2 linked regions of the Cricetulus griseus genome follow. The protein of the gene in region 1 purifies or fractionates together with the protein of each later gene. This does not show direct contact. Links are inferred from orthologs where the notes say so. Each region holds a gene or a part of one and is shown on either strand. Other genes may lie near its edges. The genes, in order: Cct4 and Tle2.

Evidence for each region.
Region 2: the proteins of Cct4 (region 1) and Tle2 purify together in Homo sapiens (affinity purification with mass spectrometry; 3 studies listed by BioGRID and IntAct, with this or other methods). This does not show direct contact. The link is inferred for Cricetulus griseus from reciprocal best matches to the Homo sapiens genes CCT4 and TLE2.

What each region holds. Positions count from the first base shown.
Region 1 is NW_023276807.1:83,763,458-83,766,440, forward strand, and holds part of Cct4 (T-complex protein 1 subunit delta), read right to left. Parts: intron 2,021-2,983; coding exon 1,881-2,020; intron 937-1,880; coding exon 840-936; intron 288-839; coding exon 177-287; intron 100-176; coding exon 1-99. UniProt on the Homo sapiens protein: Component of the chaperonin-containing T-complex (TRiC), a molecular chaperone complex that assists the folding of actin, tubulin and other proteins upon ATP hydrolysis.
Region 2 is NC_048598.1:102,322,763-102,327,304, forward strand, and holds the start of Tle2 (transducin-like enhancer protein 2), read left to right. Parts: upstream 1-1,493; 5' UTR 1,494-2,588; intron 2,589-2,595; exon of another isoform or gene 2,596-2,703; intron 2,704-2,738; exon of another isoform or gene 2,739-3,010; intron 3,011-3,017; exon of another isoform or gene 3,018-3,288; 5' UTR 3,289-3,335; coding exon 3,336-3,368; intron 3,369-3,484; coding exon 3,485-3,582; intron 3,583-3,902; coding exon 3,903-3,966; intron 3,967-4,247; coding exon 4,248-4,292; intron 4,293-4,542.

The sequences.
Region 1 (2,983 bases):
AGCATCATGAATGGAACGCTCAGCTTCTTCAATCACCAGTTTGTTAGAACCACGAACCACAATTGTAACTGTTTTGCCTGGGCTCGTACAACCTGTAATCTTTAGTGAACAAATTACAAATTAGGTAATGGGGGGGGAGGAAACAATAAAGCAAAGCTTAACTGTAATGCTGTTACCTTGAATAGTTTTCCAGAACCATTTAAATTGACTTCCTCTGCTAACTCAGCAGAACCCAGCATGTCAGTAGTGAACTGGTCAATATGAGCAACTGGTTTGGTTCCAATTGTCTGGGGGAAAGAGAAGTCTACAAGTCAATATTCCTGGAGACAGAACTCAAATGGGAGAACCAGAACTTCTCAGGTATAGTATTCAAAGCACTGGACTCAATACCCAGCATGCAAAACAACAACAAAAAAACCACTGCTGGTACTGGAATCAAGGCTCAGTAACGATAGACTGCTCTTACAGAGTACCTCATGGCAGTTCATAGACCCATGTTAACTTCAGTTCCAGGAGCCTCTGAGGGGACCATGTGACCATGTGGTACAGACAGAATCACAGTACTCATATATATAAACAAAACCCTTAAAAACCAAAAACACTGCCAAGTGGTGGTGGCACTACATTTAATTCCAGCACTGGGGAAGTGAGGCAGGCAGATCTCAGAGTTTCAGGCCAGCATGTCTAAAGTGATCTCCAGAACAGCCAGGGTTATGCTGAGAACCCTGTTTCAAACAACCAAAACCAACCAACCAAACCCCCACAAAACTACTAACCATAATATAAAATCACACCCACAATGCATGCTAATGAACATTTTACATACATTACTATTTTACCTTACAAATGAACTCAATGTCTTCTCTTTCAATATCTTTAACCACCATGATCCTCATCTTATTCAGAAAATGTAATGCAAGATCACTAAGCGCATCTCTGAAATACAAAGCGTTTGTTATGTCAGATTAAAAATTTATTTTGTTCAGTAGTTAAGATTTTAATTTTACTGCTAGTCAAATGGTCAATTATGAAGGAAAACACCCAATTTATGCCATGCTCAGGATCAAATCCAGAGCTTTGTGCACATAGGCAAACGTAATCGATTCCACTACATCTCTAGCCTCAACCAGTTACTTCAGAACAAATAGCTTTTTGAAAACTATGTCATGCTCTTTTTACTTCTGGTCAGTGTTTAAAATTCATGCGTATGAGTGCTTTCACAATGAGTGTCATCCCATGGAACTGGAGTTCTACATTTGTGAGGCCACATGGATGCTAGGAACCAAACTCAAAACTAAGTCACTCTACAATCTCTATTTTTTTTTTTTTAAGGCCTTATTCTATCCCAGACTGACCCGATTTAGCAATCCTTCGGATTTAGCCTTCTGAATACTGGGATTATAGGCATGATCAGCCTATAATCCTATCACTCAGCCTTCATGTTCTTAAAATCTAGAAATGGAATCTATTATGTTTATGTTAAAAGAGAAATAGTACTGTTTTTACTAATGAAAATACGATACATCAAAATGTTCACTCTAGATTTCCCATGTGTTAGATACTAAGCAAATGTTTATTTAAAAGAAATTGCTGGGGGTGGGAGTAGGGCATTGATGGCTCGCTCAATGGTTAACAGTGCTTGCTGCTCTTGTGGAGGACGTGGGTTCAGTACCTAGACTCGAATATGGCACCTCACAGCTGCCTTATAAACTCCAGTTCTATGACATTCAACGCTTTCTTCTGACCTCAAAGGGCTCCTGTACGTATGTAGCATATACACTCAGGCACACACATACACATGAAATAAATATGGCTTTAAAAATTACTAGCAGGAATCACAAATCAAGTATAAATTCAGGAATAAGAAAATAGTCCCTGACCTTAAGATAGACTTCTGTATGAGAAGGACATTACATCCTGTTTTCTTAATCTGCTTCACCAAATTTAAAATATAGGCTCTCTCTTCTCGAAGCACTCGATCCATCTGGGCATAGTCAGATACTACTATTTGATTATCCATCTGATTGGAACAAGAATACAGTAATTATTACAGCAAGAGATTTTAATGGAAAGTAAAAGACCAATACCAAATAGTTAAATAGGCACATACAGAAAAAGTTCTAAAATGACATGTATAAACAAAGCTGGTTCTACTTATTTTAGTTTCTTTTTTTTTTTTTGAGGCAGGTTTACTCAGTGTAGTCCAAGCTGTCCAGGAAATTAAAGAGATCTATCTACCTGCCTCCCAAGTGCTAGGACTAAAGACACACACCACCACCAGCAGCAGCAGCAGCAGCAGCCTAAAGCTGGTTCTTCTTAAAATTGTAAGCATACCCATTACTGGTTTTTGTATGTTTGAAAGACAAGTCCTCCCTATGTAGCTCAGGCTGGCCTTCAATTAACCATCCAACCACTTGAGGGCTGGGATTATAGGTATGCATGACCACAGCAGGCTCTACTGCTGTCTGAAACTTTTTGCTAGTACATTTTTGATAAGTGACAAATGCAAAGTGGTTACTATTCCCCCAATATGAAGTTTTCCCACACATCACATGTATTATAAAAATAATTTTAATTGTATCATTTTTACTCTGGCTTGTCAGTATCATATATATTACAGAAATAATTTCACTACACCCTTTAACTCTATGATTTGGGACAGAACTAGGCATGGTGGTGTATACCTTTAATACCAGCAGGCAGCTGAGACAGAGGCAGGTGAATCTCTGTAGGTTTGAAGCCAGCATAGTCTATATAATGAGTTCCAGAAAGACAACAAATGAGAAGAGAGGAAGGGAAAAAGGGAGAGAGAATTTTAAACAAACACAGCCCGTCTCAAACGAACTGAACAAAAAAACAAGACGACAAATCTTATTGATGCTGGGCTGGAGAGATGGCTCAGAGGTTAAGAGCACTGACTGCTCCTCCAGCGGTCCTGAGTTCAATTCCCAGCAACCACATGATGGCTCACAACCATCCGTTA
Region 2 (4,542 bases), on another chromosome or scaffold:
TTCCGCGGTGCCCCCCCGCTGCCGGGCGTGATGGGGTTCAGTCCCAGGGACCCCGATCGCATCCCCCACCTCCACGGAGGCGTCGAGTCTGTGACTTCCGGACGCGCAGCTGCGGGGCAGAGGCCCCTTCCTCCGGGAAGTCCGCTCGGGTTCCCGGGGGCTCCCTCTGACCTTGGCCGCCTTCACAGCTGTGGGGAGGCTGCGGAAGGGGACCTTGGGCTCATCTTTGATAAGACCTGTGTGTCTTTGGGGGGGAGGGGATTCCAGGAAGTGCGAGCCCCAGAGAAAGTCCGGGAGCCACACCGCACATTAGGTCCCCTGGGATAAGGAGTCTGGAGCTGGAAGAGTGCACGGTGTGTGGCCTGCACGAGTGCTGCTGGCAGAAACCATGTCCTGGGTTTGCACCAGGTGACAGTACCGAGGCTGAGGGTCACTAGAAGGAAGGCCTATCCATCCCTGGGGGCCTATCCATCCCCTGAGGGGGCGGGGCGGGGCCGGGCCGGGGCCGAAAGGACTGCAGGGTAAGCGTGGTGACACGCACTGCGACCCTTACTCCCCAGGGGAGTCTGAGGCCAGCCTGGGCTACCAATAGCAAACGGGGAGAGGAAATACTGGGGTCCCAGACCGCCTGGGCACAAGGTGGGGACATAGTGTTTTCTCAGACTCCCCAGGAATCAGGAGCGTGCCCAGGATTTCTGGTGTGTTCTCCGATCTTGCTCCCTTGTCCGCTCTAGTTTTGAGCCAGGCCCTGGGGATAGGGGTGTGGCTCGGTCCTGACAGCCTAGGGAGGGACAGAATGACCTGACAGCCTAGGGAGGGACAGAATGACCTGACAGCCTAGGGAGGGACAGAATGACCTGACAGCCTAGGGAGGGACAGAATGACCTGCAAGGAAAAATGAAGCAGGAAACCAGTGTGGTGGAACCAGATTGAGGAGTAGGTTGTGTCCAGAGCAGCAGGTGCTGGGTTCTCAACCTATGGGTTTCGACCCCTGTGGGGTCGCCTGAGATCACCAGGAAACACACTACGATTTATAAAAGTTCAAGATCACAATTATGAAGTAGCAATGCAATAGTTTTATGATTGGGGGTCACCACAGCATGAGGAGCTGCATTAAATGGTTAGCGGCATCAGGAAAGTTGAGAGAACCACTGAGCTAGAAGATGCTTCAGGGACTCCAGGAGATGTTCGTTCATAGGGGAGAATCTGAGTGGTGGGAATGCAGAAGTGCGGAAGGAACCGTGCCCTGTACAGAATCTGCAAAGGCCCAGGGATGGATAGGCCTGAGATGGAGAGCATGGTGGTCCAGATATTGAGGGGGGGATTCATCCCTGACCACGCCCCCAGCCCCTCACTGGGGATTCTAGGCGGGGCTCCACCCTGACCACGCCCCCAGCCCCCCTCACTGGGGGATTCTAGGCGGGGCTCCACCCTGACCACGCCCCCAGCACCTCACTGGGGATTCTAGGTGGGGCTCCACCCTGACCATGCCCCCAGCCCCTCACTGGGGGATTCTAGGTGGGGCTCCACCCTGACCACGCCCCCAACCCCTCACTGGGGGATTCTAGGTCGAGATGGGTGTTGGGGGGCACTTCAGAAAGTTACTGAACACTCAGGGTGCTCCCTCCCTCTGGGTCTTCCTGTCAATTCCTGGCTCCCCCTGACTTTTTAAGGCTCCATCTACAATGGAGCCTTAATGACACCAACGGCTCCTGTTTGTTCGTCTCTGTCATCGTTTGTCTAAAGTCTTGCTTTTTGCACGGGCAGCTCCCGGTCTTGGCAGATCGTGGCTCATCTCCTAGAGTCTGTCCTTTTATCCTCGAAGTCCCGGGTCTCAGCTAACATCCTCCCTCTGCAGAATCTCGTAAAGGCCCTTGTCCCCTGTAGCTGACTTAGCTGTCCACAGAGGTCCAAATGTTCAAACGAACGAGGAGGGGTCTTTTCCCATGATCGTGATCGTCGTTGCCCAGTTTCCCAGGGCACAATTGTCCACAGTAGCACCAGGCATACACACATGTTTATTGATTTTGGCTTAAAGATGGGGCAGATCTGAGGTTTCTTCTCTGTGAAATGGGGTAGGAGCTCTCTTGTTCTGCAGAGTAGGAAACAAGCCCCCTGGGGGGGGTCCCTGGTGATAAGTGAGAGACACACTTGAGCTTGTTGTCAGAGCCGAGACTGATGGCACAGGCCTGTTGTCGCAGCTACTATAGGACTGAGACATAAGGATTCCAAACCCACGTTTTGCTTGGGGAACTGATCCAGACCTCATCTCCAAAAGTAAAAGGAGGGTTGGGGCATGGTTTGGAGCCTAGAATTCCCCAGTGAGGGTTGGAGGTGGTCAGAAGATGAGCTCTGCAAAAATGTTCTAGTGACCAGGTTCTATCCCCAGACCTAAGTTTCTGTGTACTAATTTAAGGTGTCTAGTCCTCTTGGACTCCCCACCCCCACCCGGTCTGAGGAGGCCACCCAGTGGACTGGTGGTGGCACCAACATGCATGTCAGGTTGCCCTGGTCTCTGTCCTGGTCCTTCACCCCTGATGCTCTGAGAGGTCACTCGTGAGGTCCCCACAGCTGGGCAGCATTGGCTAGTGAGCATAGCTGGGGTCTGCCTTTCCTGGGATTGGTGTTTGGGGGTGTTCATCCTTCATGGGGCCCCGTGTTACTGGCTCAAGAAAGACTCTTGCAACCCCCAGGGCTCCCGGAGTACGCAAGATTTTTTTTTCCTAACTTGTTTTTCTCTTTCATTCTTTTTTTTTTCTTTTGCGTGGGGGTGGGGCGAGAACAGTAGGCTCTAACTCAAGCCTCAGTTTCCCCAGCGGGTCTGGGAGCCAAGGAGGCAGACCGGTGCCACCTTAAGGCGGGTCCCGCCCGCGGCTCCCAGCCGAGCCCTGCGGAGAGAGGCGGCTCCGCAGCTACCGGCCACCAGCGCCGACCCCGGGCGGCGGCCACGGACCTGCGGCGCGGGCTGCAGCTGCCCCCGGGCCGGACAACCCGGGCGCGCTGGCGGGAGGTGGGGCGCCGCGCGGGGTCCAGGTCCCCTGCCCCCGGCAGGCAGGCTCTCCCTGGCTGCTCTTTCTTTGCGTGAAAATCCCTCCCCCAGCTCCGGCTTCTCTCCCAGCTTTTCCAGCCTCAGTCTCGCCGCACCCCAGCTCTAGAATAGCACCCCAAATTCTACCCTCTGCTCTGCCCCACACCCCACATTCTACTCCCAGCCTCAGCTTTGCACCCTAAATTTCTGTCCCCTGCTCCACCTCCGCACCCCAGCTTCCCTCTTGCCCCATCTCCAAGCCTCCACGAAGCTGGGCTGCCCCTTCTCCCATCCGTCCATCAGCAGGATGTACCCCCAGGGAAGGCACCCGGTGAGTACGGTGAGTACGGAGACCCCCACCTCTGACTGGAGCAGGGGAGGACGAGGGAGGGGATCCCTACCTGCTGGTGCCCGGAACTCCCCCCCCCCCCGTGTCCTTCTCCTCTATCCCCTCAGACCCCGCTGCAGTCCGGCCAGCCTTTCAAGTTCTCAGTCCTGGAAATCTGTGACCGGATCAAAGAGGAATTCCAGTTTCTCCAAGCTCAGTACCACAGGTGAGGGGGCCCCAGCTCTGGGCACTGGGAGGCCCCCGGGGGTGGGGACTTATGGAGGGGGCGTGGTCTGCAGGGCAAGGAGCGAGGCTCACCGGGAGGACTGGAGGGCTTCCTGGTGGAGACAGTGTTCCCAAGGTGACGTGAGTGGGTTTCTGGGAAAACCTTCCCTGAGGAAGGGTTTGTAGGCCTGGGCTCACCAGGGTTGGAGACAGTTTCTAAAGAAGTGTGGGGTGGGCAGGCAGCTCCTACCTGTCACGGAAACTGACCTACGTGGGGTGTGGTGAGGCGATCCCCCATTTTTGTCCAATCTTCCTGCCCAGCCTCAAACTGGAGTGTGAAAAGCTGGCCAGCGAGAAGACAGAGATGCAAAGGCACTATGTGATGGTAGGGTCCCGCCCTCGCTGCCCCCACTCTTGTGTTCCCTCTAAAGAGGGCAGCCAGGGACATGAGGAGCTTTCTCTGGGTGCCCTCCTCCCCAACCCCCAGTCTTGGACACTTGTCGGCCTCTCTGAGCCCAATGCCTTCTGGCTTCCCCCTCTGGGTCCCCGTGGGGTTCATGCTTCCATGCCTTGCCCTGAAGCTCCCACCCCTGAGGCTGGAGCAAGACTCCATGTACCCAGGATGGGGCCAGCTGTTCACACTGGTCAACACTGTCTCCTTTGCAGTACTACGAGATGTCCTACGGCCTCAACATTGAGATGCATAAACAGGTGACCGTTTGGAGTCAGGGGTTTGTGGGAAGGGATGATGCTCATCTGTGGGGCAGAGGCCATCCTCAGACATCTCTGGCGGTACCAAGGCCAGCAGAAGAGATTTTAGTCTTGTAACAAAAAGTATTCTCAGCATCTAGGGACAGTGGCCTGAGTGGGAACAGTAGAGGGAGTGGAGTGTCCCCATGGAGGAGGGCCTGGGCTGTAGGCCAAGGAGGGTTTGGAGGCAACTTTCCTTTCCAGCAGGGAT